2 linked regions of the Mus musculus genome follow. The protein of the gene in region 1 interacts with the protein of each later gene in a pairwise test. Links are inferred from orthologs where the notes say so. Each region holds a gene or a part of one and is shown on either strand. Other genes may lie near its edges.

Region 1 (7,023 bases):
GCCTGGTGCCAAAGGGGCGACAAGGAGGAGAAAGGTATATGTGGTGGTTGGGGCTGGGTATTGGAGGCAGGGGGAAGGCACTTCAGGACATAGCGGATGGGACAGGTGTTTCCTCAGGCTGGGAAAGCTCAGATTCTGAGACTCTGGGCCCTTTCTTAGCCTTGTAGCCGCCCACTCAGCTCCATCCTGGGGAGGAGTAACCTGAAGTTTGCTGGAATGCCAATCACTCTCACTGTGTCTACCAGCAGCCTTAACCTCATGGCAGCCGACTGCAAACAGGTAGGTAGGGCTGCTGAAAGGGACCAGAGATAGTTATGGGAGCATCAAATGGGAATCAGAGACCAAAAGCTCGGAGCTCTCAGGAACAACTGGACAGTAGAGGAGGAAGAAATTAGAAAGGTTAAGGATAGTGACACCCTTATCCCAGCACTCAGGAGGCCGAGGCAGGTGAATGCCTTTGAGTTCCAGTCAGGGCTACACAGTGAGACCTTGCACCTCACCCCACCAAAAGAAGAAAGAAATCAGGAGAACACTGGGTAAAAGACCAAGAGAATGAGCCTGGGGCTCCAAGGTTCTGCACTGGGGTGGGCCACAAGCCCTGAGGCTGCCTGACATTTACCATCCCCTCCTTCTCCATCCCCACCCTCATCAGATCATTGCCAACCATCACATGCAATCTATCTCTTTCGCGTCCGGTGGGGATCCGGTGAGTTGGGGACCAGAGGAAAGACTGGGGTGGGGAAGAAGAGACATGGGGCTAGAAAGATGCTTGCTAGAGGCTGAGTGTGGTGGCACACACTGATCCCAGCACTCACGGGACAGGTGACTCTCTTGAGTTCCAGGACAGCCAGGGCCATGCAGAGAAATCCTTGAAAAACCAAAAGAGGGAGGGAGAGAGAAGATACTGGCTAAAGAAGTAGGGTGCAAGGGTTGTGAAATGTCTGAAAGGGACAGAGTCTTAGTGGATCAGGAGTTGTAAACTCTAGCTAACTGGTCTCCTGAATCTACCCTCTCCAGGACACAGCTGAGTATGTTGCCTATGTTGCCAAAGACCCTGTGAATCAGAGAGGTGAGGCTTGCGGGCAGCACTGGGTGGGGCCAGTTATCTGAAAAGCAGTTACACTTGATAGGGTTCCCTTGCTGGGAGGGACTTGGGTGGGGGCTCCCTCCCACAGGTCATGCCAGCCCCCTGCCTCAGAGCTCACTGGTGGTCTCCACTGTGTCCCAGCCTGCCATATCCTGGAGTGTCCTGAAGGGCTTGCTCAGGATGTCATCAGCACCATCGGGCAGGCCTTTGAGTTGCGCTTCAAACAGTATCTCAGGAATCCACCGAAGCTGGTCACCCCCCATGACAGGTGAGCTGGTGGGAGAGGGCGAGGCAGGAAGTGTCTTCCCATGCTTGAGTTCCAAGGGGTTCAGAAAAGGTAATGACCTGTGTGACCCTTTGTCCCTCCTCTGCTGTGTCAGCTCTCCAGTGGCTCATCAAGAGACCTGAGGGCCATGCCTGCTGCAGGGACAGTTTCTTCCTTTTGTTTGCCTAGGGTGGAGTTACAGCCCAGCACCTCCCACTAGACTGCTTTTTCTGGCTGAATGAACATTGAATTCTCAAGTTGTTCATTTTTGGCCGATCCCTGTGTTCTTGTACACTTTCATTTTTCTTAAAGATTTATTTTTATTTTATCATATGTGTAATTTACTGCATGTATACGAGTGTATGCAGTGCCAATGGAAGCCGGAAGAGGGCATTGGGTCCCTTGGGAGTAGAATACCAGGTGGTTGTGAGCTGCCACGTGAGTGCTTGGAACCAAACCTGGGTCCTCTGCAAGATCAGCAGTGGTTAACCCCGGAGCACTTGCTCCCCCACTCATTGTTCTGTGTTCTCCTGCCTCTGAAGGTCATTATGGTATCTGGACTGTAATCATGTCTTTAATCCCAGCACTCAAGAAGCAGAGGCAGTAGAATGTTTGAGTTTGAAGCCAGCCTGGTCTACAGAGGGAGTTCCAGGACAGCCAGCACTACATAGAGAAACCAACAAAAAAAGAGAAAAAGGAAGAAAGAAGGGGGTGGGTGGGGGAAGAATTAGAGAGAAAAGAAAAAAAATCTGGTTTAAGAGAAAAACTTTTTTCTTTTTTTTGTACGTGTGTGTGTGTGTGTGTGTGTGTGTGTATGTGTGTATGTGTGCATGTGGGGCCTATGTTGTGTGTGGGTACAGAGGTTTGAAGTTGATGTAGGTGTCTTCCTCTGGTGCGGCACACTTTATTGAGGCAGGATCTCCTTCTGACCTGGAGCTTGTCAGATAGGGCTAGCAGCAGCCAGTTTGCTCTGGATCCTGTCTCTGCCTCAAGGGTGCTGGGATTACAGGTGGCCACCACTGTACAGGTGGCCTGGCTTACACACGGATCCTGGTGATCTGAGCTCTGATCCTCACACTTTAGGAAATGAGCTATTTCCCAAGTCCCAGCATCTCTTACCGGAGAGTCCCCAGGCTTCTTTCTTCAAGTCTCAAGAGATTATCAGTGTGACCCACCAGGCCCTTTGTGAAATCCTTCTGGACATCTGCTTTGTTTGATAGTGCTTCCACGCCTCTGAGGAGGTCGCATAGCTGTCAAAAGTGAGAGTTAATTTCTTAATTTCAGTTAAGAGATCTTGTGTGTATCTCTCCTCCCCTTTTTTGTTTTTCTAGACAGGGTTTCTCTGTGTAGCCCTGGCTGTCCTGGAACTCACTTTGTAGACCAGGCTGGCCTTGAACTCAGAAATCTGCCTGCCTTTGCCTCCCGAGTGCTGGGATTAAAGGTCCACCCCCAATTTTTATTGCTGTTTCTTAAGTTGTGGAAGGAATACCAGCCTTACAGGGTTATAACATCAGGCCTCAGAGCTGAGCCATAGTATGTGCCTAGTATGTGATCACTGTTCTCCCTTCCTGGGTCTCCTAGCTAGAGATTTACACCTGCCTCTTCTCTCATCCTTCTCTTTTCAGGATGGCTGGCTTTGATGGCTCAGCTTGGGATGAGGAGGAAGAAGAGCCCCCTGACCATCAGTACTACAATGACTTTCCAGGGAAGGAACCCCCTCTTGGTGGGGTGGTAGATATGAGGCTTCGGGAAGGGGCTGCTCGACCCACTCTGCCTAGTGCCCAGATGTCCAGCCACTTGGGAGCTACACTGGTAAGGAGCCAGGATGGAGATGCTTAAGACCAGGGTGGGAATGGCTGGCTAGGGCCTTGGTCTCACCCAATTTTCTTCTTCTGTAGCCTATAGGGCAGCATGCTGCAGGAGACCATGAAGTCCGTAAACAGATGTTGCCTCCGCCGCCTTGCCCAGGTGAGCACAGTTTGCTGATACGGACAGAGATGAGTACAGAAGGCGGGGCTGGGATTGATGCTGTCTTTTTTTCCTTAACAGGCAGAGAACTCTTCGATGACCCCTCCTATGTCAACATCCAGAATCTAGACAAGGCCCGGCAGGCTGGGGGTGGGGCTGGGCCCCCAAATCCTTCTCTTAATGGCAGTGCACCCCGAGACCTTTTTGACATGAGTGAGTGAGTCTCTTGTAGCCCCACCTTCCGTTGTTCCTTCTTTTCTGCCTGTTCTCCCCTACCTGGCTTCCCACACTGAGTCTGGGTCTCAGGTGATACTGGGGCACCTCTCCCAGCTGTCTCTCTACACCCCTAGAGCCCTTTGAAGATGCACTTCGGGTGCCACCCCCACCGCAGTCCATGTCCATGGCTGAGCAGCTGCAAGGGGAGCCCTGGTTCCACGGGAAGCTGAGCCGGAGGGAGGCCGAGGCGCTGCTGCAGCTCAATGGTGACTTCTTGGTGCGAGAGAGCACGACCACGCCTGGCCAGTATGTGCTCACTGGCCTGCAGAGTGGGCAGCCCAAGCACTTGCTGCTGGTGGACCCTGAAGGTGTGGTAAGTGTGACAGAGGTGTGGCAGGGGCTGGTGTGGTTTTGCTTTCTAGACTTCCTTTGCCGGAGGCTTCCTGTGGACTCCTTTGCCCTTGCTGGACACTTGCATCCACCTGCAGTGGCTCAGGGTTCCTTCCCTGCTGTCCTCGAGTCTGAGCTGTGTTCTTCTCAGTTCTGACCAGTCCTCACATCCCAGTGAAGCCTGCCAGCCCCCAGAGAGTGCTTACTTGATCTTTTGCTAAGTGAGGAAATGACACTGGAAAGGCAGTGGTGCCCAGTGTCAGTGGTTAGGGGGTGGAGACCCCAAATTTTCTCTTGCAAGAGGAGTCAGGAGCCTCCCTAGCTCCTTAGCTTCAAACTCAGGGTTTTGTTTTGTTTTGTTTTGTTTTCAACAAATCTAACCTGCCTTACTATTCCATACAACCTTGGTTTCTTTTCTTTTTCTTCTTTTTTTTTTTAGGGGAGGGGTGGTGGTGAGGTTCAAGACGGGGTTTCTCTGTGTAGCCCTGGAACTCACTCTGTAGACCAGGCTGACCTCGAACTGAAGCGCTCCGCCTGCCCTGCTTCCCCAGCGCTGGGATTAAAGGCTGTGCCGCCACCGCTCTGCTCAGTTTCTTTTCTCTTCTCAGCATTTTTTCCACCTTGGTTTTGCATTGTGTCACTTTTGAGAGACACCAGCTTCCTTCAAGTCAGAATTTTCACTGTCAGCTTCCGTGATTTCTGGTCTCCTTCCCCTTCGCCCAGTTCACTGCCCATTCCCACCCATGTGACTGTCTTTTCTGTAAAGATGCCTGGATAATCACGGCTGCTGGCCCGCCTTCCTCAGTCTTCCTGAGCTCTTCTCTTGACCCAACCTTCTCTCCCTGCCTCCCAGGTTCGGACAAAGGATCACCGCTTTGAGAGTGTCAGTCACCTGATCAGCTACCACATGGACAATCACTTGCCCATCATCTCTGCGGGCAGCGAACTGTGCCTACAGCAACCCGTGGATCGGAAAGTGTGATCCTTCTCAGCTTCTCCAACAGGATGCTCTCCATTTCCGTCTCCCGTATTCTCTAACTTGTGGGACCTCTGTTTTGTGGGTCTGGCCTTGGGTGGGAACTGGGAGCAACGAGGACATGGGTTTAGTGCCCACTTGAGAGAGAGAAAAAGAGGGTTTCAGTAAGGAGCCTGGGGTAGCATCCTGCCTCTGGCCAAACTTCACCAAAGTATTAATGTGCAGAGTGGTCCCTTGTCTGGGCCTTGCCTGTGCCAACCTGATGCCCTTCCCCCCCAAAGGGTGGGTTCTTATAATGGAAAATGCCCTGTGATGATAGGCCCAGTGGAGCAACTGCCCTTTGGGGGAAGGGAAATAATTATACCTCTGGTTTACTCCTGGGTCTTCAGGGTACCCCAGATCCCGCATAACATATCCCACTCCCTCTGCTTCCCCTTAAACTTTGTGCCTTTGACTATCATAGGTCTGCAGATACTTAATGCAGAGTTCTCAGGCCCTTCACGTGTGGACAGGGGTTACTGCCACCTTGGCTTCTGGAGCCCTGTCCTATTCAGCACCCCTTCCTGTGTCTAGGGAGAATAGGGACAGGAGTGGCCGCTATCTGCTCTGCCTTTCGGATGTGCAGCCCTTAAGAGATTGCCCCAAGCCTGAATATGGTGGCGCACGCCTTTAATCACAGCACTCAGGAGGCAGAGACAGGAGGAATTGTGAGGCCATCCGATCTACAACAGAGTGAGTTCCAGGACAGCCAGGGCTATGGAGAGAGAACCTGTCTCCAAAAACCAAAAAGAGCGATTACCCCAGAGCCTTCTTCCTGATGGTAGCGGGGAGGGGCAGGACTGGACCCATCTTGCTCAGTGCCTCCTGACCTCAATGCCTTTCCTCCAAGGGGTCTGTATACATTTCTCAAGCCTGCTCCTCCCATGTTTGCATGTGTGTTATAGTCTACAGCCAAAGTATAGCCCTCACTGTAACCCCATCCTGCCTCCCTCCTTTGGGATAGGTGTGTGCGTCTGACTTGGGCCTCCAGGGTGTGTACAGTCAGTGTGGGTTTTGTGGAGGCAATAAGACTGAAGCAGTAGACAATCCCCAATACCATTTGCAGGTCTGGAACTGCACTCTCTTTTTTAAAAAACATGTATACATTTTAGGGCTGTAGATTTATTTTCCTGGTTTTGTTTTTCATTGCTGACTTTTGAGCACAGAATTATGATAATCAATTACATTTATACATCACCTCGATGACTTTTCCAAACTTTTATTTTTTTTTTTAAACAACTGTTGGGATTTTACTCCCTGGCCTTAACTAGGACAGGATTGTACCCCACTCCTCCCCCCCCCCTTTTTCTTTTTCGCCAAGACAACTGAGCAGAAATTTGGCTGAGCAGTGTTGTGGGACTATGATGTGATAGTTTTAGATCCTACCTTCTGCTTTCGGGCAGCTGCAGCCAGCACAGAAACCTTGCAAGCTCACTCTGTGTGTAGGCTTTCTGGACAAGGAATGGTCGCCAAATTTTTGGTTTGGATGTCTTATACCAAAGGGAAATAGTCTTCATTAAAGTTCGTATTTCTTTTACCTCGGCCTCTCAACTCCTCTGGAAAGTCTGATTGATGGGGGCTGTCTGTGGGAGGTGGTGACGGACCCCATCTGGGCTAGGTCCAGTGGGCTCCAAGCCAGCGCCAGCCCGCAGGCACCAGTTTGCAGAGATTTGGGGAGCTGCGAGGCTGTGCGGTAGGGACGTATCTGCAAGGCGACTGGCTCGCGGCGGGAAGGGGCGTGTCCGGACCGCCCCCAGGCCCACCCGCAGCTCGCACGGCCCCTGTCGAGTGGTGCGTTCCACTCTGCTACCGGGCTAGCTGGGCGGCGACAGGCGCACTTCGGAGGAGTGGCGTGGCGAGGCCCAGCCTTCCTGGGTGCGGCGTCTGGGCCCTTCCCTGCTTTCCCTCCCCACCGCGTTCCGTGGTGGTGACCCATTGGAGTTCCGGTTCCGGTTGCTGTGGCTGCGGGCGGGCGGTGAGTCTGGAGCAGGCGCGCAGTTGGTGCAACGGCTCTGTGCTTTCCCCCTCGGCGTGGCTAGGGCTTGCTGCTGCTCGGGGGGGCTGCGCTGCCCCTGACTCCCC
Region 2 (7,568 bases), on another chromosome or scaffold:
GCAAAGCTTCTCTAAGGCAAAAGACACCGTCAACAAGACAAAAAGACCACCAACAGATTAGGAAAGGATTTTTACCAATCCTAAATCTGATAGGGGACTAATATCCAATATATACAGAGAACTCAAGAAGCTGGACTCCAGAAAATCAAATAACCCCATTAAAAAATGGGCTCAGAGCTAAACAAAGAATTCTCACCTGAGGAATACCAAATGGCTGAGAAGCACCTGAAAAAATGTTCAGCATCTTTAATCATCAGGGAAATGCAAATCAAAACAACCTTGAGATTCCACCTCACACCAGTCAGAATGGCTAAGATCAAAAATTCAGATGACAGCAGATGCTGGCGAGGATGTGGAGAAAGGGGAACACTCCTCCACTGCTGGTGGGATTGCAAGCTTGTACAACCACTCTGGAAGCCAGTCTGGAGGTTCCTCAGAACATTGGACATAGTACTACCGGAAGATCCAGCAATACCTCTTCTGGGCATATACCCAGAAGTTCCAACTGCTAATAAGAACACATGCTCCACTATGTTCATAGCAGCCTTATTTATAGTAGCCAGAAGCTGGAAAGAACCCAGATGTCCCTCAACAGAAGAATGGATACAGAAAATGTGGTACATTTACATAATGAAGTACTACTCAGCTATTAAAAACAATGGATTTATGAAATTCTTCGAGTAATGGATGTATTTGGAGGATATCATACTTAGTGAGGTAACCCAATCACAAAAGAAGTTATTAGATATGCACTCACTGATAAGTGGATATTAGCCTAGAAACATAGAATACCCAAGATACAGTTTGCAAAACACAAGAAAATCAAGAAGAGGGAAGTCCAATGGGTGGATACTTCATTCCTCCTTGGAACAGGGAACAAAAATACCCATGAAAGCATTTGGAGAGATAAAGTTTGGAGCTAAGACGAAAGGATGGACTATCCAGAGACTACCCCTCCCGGTCATCCATCCCGTAATCAGCCACCAAACCCAGACACTATTGCATATGCTAGAAAGATTTTGCTGAAGGGACCCTGTTATAGCTGTCTCATATGAGGCTATGCCAGTGCCTGGCATATACAGAAGTGGATGCTCACAGTCATCTATAAGATGGAACACAGGGCCCCCAATGGAGAAGCTAGAGAAAGCACCCAAGGAGCTGAAGGGGTCTGCAACCCTATATGTGGAACCACAATATGAACTAACCAGTACCCCCAGAGCTCATATCTCTAGCTGCATATGTAGCAGAAGATGGCCTAGTTGGCCATCAGTGGGAAGAGAGGCCCCTCGGTATTGCAAACTTTATATGTTCCAATACAGGGGAATTCCAGGACTAAGAAGCAGGAGTGGGTGTGTAGGGGAGCAGGGCGGAAGGAGGGTATAGGGAACTTTTGGGATAGCATTTGAAATGCAAATAAAGAAAATATCTAATAAAAAAAGAGAAAGATTTCAAAAATGTATAGCAAAAGAAAACATAGATAATATTATTAATACAACTTGAAAAAAGTTCACAGGTAATCTTTTCCGTCTCTACCCAACTCAAATATTCGTTTTCTCTTCCATATCATCTTGATATTAGATTATTTCAAGACAAATCTCATGCATATTAGCCATTCCTTTTCAGAATGTATCTTTAAAACACTTCTGCTTCAAAGCCCTTACATGCAAACTTCCAATTTTATACTTCTTCCAAATTACAAAAGTGAGAGGCATGTTGGTCAAATGCCTCTCACTTTTTCCACCTGGTAAACATATTTAAGTTTCATACCTAGCCGAAATTATTACCCATGCCAATACAGTACCAGATACTTATGTGTCATTTACTATACATCTCCTTCAGAGTTGGTTATTTCAAAGTAGAAACCTCGAATGAGCCTCAGCTCCCCATATGAGTTATATATCAGTCTGCCTATGTGAACTTTTAAAAACACAAAGCTGATCATATTTTCCAAATAATGAAAACTTTGCAGTGGATTTCCAATGTTCTATTATAGAACTGATTAATTGGCTGACAAAGCTATGCACCTTCTGACTTACAAAAATGTTAGATCCAGCTGGGTGTGGTAGCACATGCCTTTAATCCCAGCACTCAGGAGGCAAAGGCAGGCGGATTTCTGAGTTCGAGGCGAGTCTGGTCTACAAAGTGAGTTGGGACAGCCAGGGAAACCCTGTCTCAAAAAAAAAAAAAAATTCCTAACATATAAAAGAAAATAAACTTTATACTAATAAAAAAATGTCAGATCCAGCACCCCTGGACTATGTTATGATTGTGCAGGTCTTTCAGTATCTTAATATCACAGACATCCTGGACCCGTCCTCCTTGCCTAGGTAACCTTCCCGACTCAAGTTTATATGTTACTTTCCTAAGAAACAACCATAGGATAACAATTTCAGTATATTAATTCTAGTTTGTACTCATTGCTGTTTCCAGTCATGTATGTAAGTCTGGGTGATAACCACTTTTTTTTTTTTTTGGTTTTGTTTTATTTTGTTTTAATATTGAGTACTCAATTGGTGTAGAAATAAAAATCTCTAATTCCAAAGGCAATTCTGAGCATAGTGAGTCTGGGTGTTAGGGAGGGCTCAGGAAAAGCAGCTTAAGCCACTAAAGGTATAGAAATTAGAAAGTACCTTTTAGACTACAAAACACCAAACAATATTACTGATATCACCTAATCTTCCAATTCCTGAAATGTACATCTAATTTTATTATTTTAATATATTTTCAAATATATGTTTATTTGAAATTTTATTTTAATAAAATAAAATTTGTGAAAGACAAATTTGTTTAGTCAAATAAGGCTTAATCATAAAGAATGAGTATATCAGTGCCTATTATATCAACACATAAAAGCTGTATTTATATTATATACCTTAAAAAATACAAAACAAATACAAACAAATACAAAACAAAGGACAAATATACTAGAATGTACATAGATTATATAGAACTTGAAAACAAATGTTGGGGATGGAGAGATGGCTTGGTGGTTAAGAGCACTAACTCCTTTTCCAGAAGTGCTCTGTTCAATTCCCAGCAACCACATGGTGGCTCACATCCATCTGTAATGATATCTGATGCCCTCTTCTGGTGTGTCTGAGGACAGCAACAGTATACTCACAGACATAAAACAAATACATCTTAAAACAACAACAACAAAAACAATACCTCCCCCCAAAAAACCCAAATGTCTTTAAGTAATAATACAATTTTCTTCTTTTACTCAGCAAATCAGATTCAGATTTTAGAGTCCAATTAAAGATATACATACGTTTTAAGCAAATTTCTTATACACAGAGAGAGAGAGAGAGACAGACAGACAGACAGAGACAGAAATATACTATAACATGAACTATAATAAAAAATTTATCTGAAGTAATTTTAAAAGCATACCAAGAGGTGGTTCATCAGCTTAGAACACTAACTGATCTTGCAGAGGACCCGTGTTTCAGTTCCCAGCACCGACATCACAATGATTCTGTAACTCTAGTTCCAGGAGATCTAAATGCCTCTATGTTCACATATATGTGGTGTACATTTAAAAATGTAGGCAAAATACCAATTCACATAAAATAAAATATTTTTTAAAAATAAAGTATATTTAGTAATCTAGACATTACACACATTATTTCATTTAAAGGGACACCACTACCTACAGAAATAAGACACAGGAACACATCCTCTAAGAACCTTCAACGTAGAATGAGAAAATAGTTTCTCTGCTTAGACATATTCTTGAAAATGATGTATACTATTTCAACTAGTAGTATACAACTTTTTTTTATTTTCTTACCTTTCATCGTTTTTTTCTGTCCTATTACATTCAAAATGTACCAATCACAAGCCTTAGCATCCATGACTTTTAAGTCAGTTTCTAAATCAATAAGAATCAAATTAAGAATTCTTTATCTTTTGTAAACTTTTGAAGAATTTTAATGATAAACAAGAATTTCATGTATTATTTTTTTCAACTTTTTTTTCTGGGTTTGAAGTGATAACAGGTTAAAAATTTAAGATATCAAGATTTTTGTTTTTATTTTTAAGAGATTTCCTATGGCATGGATATGTGGCTCAGTGGTAAAGACATTTTCTAGTGTGTATGAGGGCCTAGGTTCAAGCCTCAAGACAGGATTAAAAAACAAAAAAGGAAAGAAAACAGAAGAAAAAAAGAGAAAAGAAAAAAAAAAAGATTTATTTCCATTAAATTGCAGTTTTGGCTACAAGGTTACTTCTATCAGTGTTCCTTTCTACCTGACGTGCTCAATTGCAAGTGCCATCTGGTGGAATTCATGTGAGTCATCTGATACCACCCACAACTCCTGCAGAGGCAGATGAAACTCCTTCAGGTCCAAAAGCTCCTTCACATTGGCCAAGGTAAACGTGCTCAATTTAGATTCATAGATGCATGGCTCTGCAAGCCTTACGACCGCCTTCAGGGATGGAAAGTCCACATTTGTAACCTGAAATTCAAAACAATGTGGCTCATTTTAATACTCAGAAATCAAAGTGGAAACACACAGTATAAAATACTATTTATAATCCACTTTTTAAAAGTAAGTAATGTGTCAGCGTGCCTTTTAAGGACAAACAAAACAGAAATGGCTTTTATCCTCAGAATATAAATCAAGGAGAAAAATAAACAGTAGGACTTATGGGTAAGATTTCGGAAAGGAAATTGCTTTGGTGAGACAGTGAAAGAAATCACTTAGAATTTTCAAAATGAGAATATTAAAAAAAAAGGAGGATCAGCACTAGAAATTAAAATAGCAGTGCTAGAAAAACTGAAATGTACTGAGAAAAAGATAGGCAACTCAGTTCCCTAGCAGTGGGAAGGAAAACAGGAGCCTCCTTCAAACGGTAATCCAGGTGTTGCTGGTAAAGAGAAGGAGAGTCTGACTTTCAGAACAAGACCACAGGGTTTTACAAACATCAAAACCAGTTTTGAGTTTCGGTGAAGCAATGATTCTCCAGAATTTTACTGTTACTCTATATGACTGGGAGGGCACAGGCCCCGCAAAATGTTACTTATTTAGAACTGAGCTAAAACTGGGACCTCATTATGAGAAACAATTATAATAAAGAAAGTCTGAATTTAACCTGCCACAACTCCAGATGATAGACAGACAGCTCTGGATCCCAGCTATAGAGAGCAGAAAAGCCCGATGCTGAAAAGCAGAAAAGTGCCAGCAGCAGGAAGTTCTATTCAAACAGTGAAGCGCACAGAGAGAAGCAGTCCCATTCTCAGCTGCCAAGAGCAGAAGGAATCAACCGAAAGCAGCCCTAGAGCTCCACTGCCCTAAGCCTAAACGCAACAGGGCCATCAACCTGTCGCTCACCGCGGGGAGTTCCAGAATGTTTCAATAGTCTACTGGCATCTCTCCAGCAATCTGATGAATATTAAAAGACTTCTAATGTACAACAAGCTAGACCTATATAAGAGTTCAGTGCTGCAGTTGTTTCTTACATTCTTAAAACATTTGAGAGATAACTCCCAAGTAGAACATTAGTTACCGCATGGGTATAAAGAGGAAAACATCAAGAGACTGACAAAAATCTGCACAGTCCACAGGTAACACAAAGATAAACTACAAAAGTGAAGACATATCTGGTGGACTTCAGACACTGTAAAATATAGGTTCAACACCAGCAGAAGCCGAAGGAAAGAAAAGGCACAGATGCCCAGTAACCATCTACCTCTCCCATCCTATGCATATGACGTTTTCCAGTTTTCAAGGACCTAGAAAGAAGCTGTTCCAACATTATTTATTATTATTACGATTATTATTATACCCATTATATTTTGCTGTCCCTCAGTCTTTTGTCTTTATTACAATATCAGATGTATTTTTATTTCATTTATTTTTAAAAATGGTTAAAGTTTTAAAAATAATTTATTACTTCACTTCCTACAGTCACCTAACTTGTGAACTTTTTCATTAGTGGGTAATCATTTTCCTCTTCTTTTGTCTTGCTCCCCCACTTTGAATTCTGTTCTATAGTTGTAGAAATATTTAATGGCTTTTGTTTAAATAATATTTTAATTTCTACTCCTGTCCATATATTTAGGTAATTATGAACTTTTTCATTCCTGAGGGTTTCCCCCTCCTTTTTGTGCCCAATCAGTTGCTCCTTTCTCTTTTCTCGTCTTAACACTCCTCAACTTCCGTCTTCTTTTCATTTATTTGACCTTGCTTCTCTTCTGTTTCTTTCTTTTCCCAGCCTCTTTCTTTCACCTCATTAATGCATTAGAGACACATTTATCCTAAATAATTTTTAACTTTATAACACATTCTCCATGAATTTTCCCACTGTCTGGCTTACGGTCATCAGTGATGTATTAGTGGGCTTTAATCAATTTTAAGTATATTTCTATATCTTCTACACTTTAGTGTTGAGCTATCAGAACTCTGTTCTCCTCACTGAATGGTATTGGGAATTAAAATACCCAGCTGAACTGGTGAAAGGATTAAATTTAATTGGGAATTAAAACCAGGAAGCTGTTCATGTACGATCTCTAAGTAAAACCAGAAAAGTTATCTAAACCAACAAATGTCTAAATTCCATCACAAAATACACAAGCAATAGGAAAAAGTAAAGTAACAGGAGGCCTCCAAAATAATACAGCTTTTCAACTGCTGAATTCAGATATAGAAATAGGTAAAATACCAAGCGAAGTTATTAGAAACTCTCTGCTATACATTTGTGGTTGAGAATCTAGAACGAGTTTGGCTCAGCAGATAAAGGTGCTTCCTGCCAAACCTGAGTTCCTGGGGTCAGGCCTCTGAATCTAAAAGGTGGAGGAAGAGAACTGACTTCTGTAAGCTGTCCTCTGATTCCTACATAAATATTCAGGTGTGTGCACACAGGCACACACACACACACACACACACACACACACACACACAAACAATTACTATACTTAAAAATTTTAAAAAGAAATATGAAATGGAGGAAAATATCTTAATGGAGGCATAAAATAGAAAGAGTAAAGGAATACATGTGATAAGAAAGCAGGAGTCAGAACTAAGTGGAGGGGTGTCTGAGGAGGACAACAAGTGAGAACAAAGTATGTCACACATGTATGAGGACGCCGCGTATTATTAAAACTAGAATGTTTAACCCTTAAAAATTAGTTTAAAACTTCACTATTAAAAATGATTAATGACTCCAAGGAAGATTAAAAAGAAACAGATTAATTCAATCCATGACCTAGGAAACAAAGTCAGAAACACAGAGGACAGCTTGGCAAAATATATACATAAGAGAATTCAACTTACCTCAACCAACACCTCAAACACATTAGTGTGCCAGACTGCCCACCATCCAGATGGTTCAAGGACCTTTTCCAAGAAGCTGACTGTGAATTCCTTTACCTCAGAGGCCTTACAGTCAGCTACAAATTAAATAAGAATTGGAAATGTATAGATGAGAAGTTAATAAATCCATCTGAGTCCACTTTCTTAGAACTGACAATCTATGGACAAGCTACTTGCAAAAAAAAAAAAATTACTCACCTAAAATGTAATCTTGATAGGCTCTGAATCGTTCATAAAACAGAAGTTCATTTG

The links.
Region 2: the proteins of Shc1 (region 1) and Shcbp1 interact in a two-hybrid assay, tested with the Homo sapiens proteins (2 studies listed by BioGRID, with this or other methods). The link is inferred for Mus musculus from reciprocal best matches to the Homo sapiens genes SHC1 and SHCBP1.

Annotation. Positions count from the first base shown.
Region 1 is NC_000069.6:89,423,538-89,430,560, forward strand, and holds the end of Shc1 (SHC-transforming protein 1), read left to right. Parts: coding exon 1-34; intron 35-159; coding exon 160-279; intron 280-652; coding exon 653-706; intron 707-1,017; coding exon 1,018-1,069; intron 1,070-1,228; coding exon 1,229-1,355; intron 1,356-2,977; coding exon 2,978-3,164; intron 3,165-3,250; coding exon 3,251-3,320; intron 3,321-3,401; coding exon 3,402-3,533; intron 3,534-3,670; coding exon 3,671-3,909; intron 3,910-4,779; coding exon 4,780-4,908; 3' UTR 4,909-6,492; downstream 6,493-7,023. UniProt on the Homo sapiens protein: Signaling adapter that couples activated growth factor receptors to signaling pathways. Participates in a signaling cascade initiated by activated KIT and KITLG/SCF.
Region 2 is NC_000074.6:4,760,630-4,768,197, forward strand, and holds part of Shcbp1 (SHC SH2 domain-binding protein 1), read right to left. Parts: coding exon 7,515-7,568; intron 7,394-7,514; coding exon 7,278-7,393; intron 4,461-7,277; coding exon 4,252-4,460; intron 1-4,251. UniProt on the Homo sapiens protein: May play a role in signaling pathways governing cellular proliferation, cell growth and differentiation. May be a component of a novel signaling pathway downstream of Shc. Acts as a positive regulator of FGF signaling in neural progenitor cells.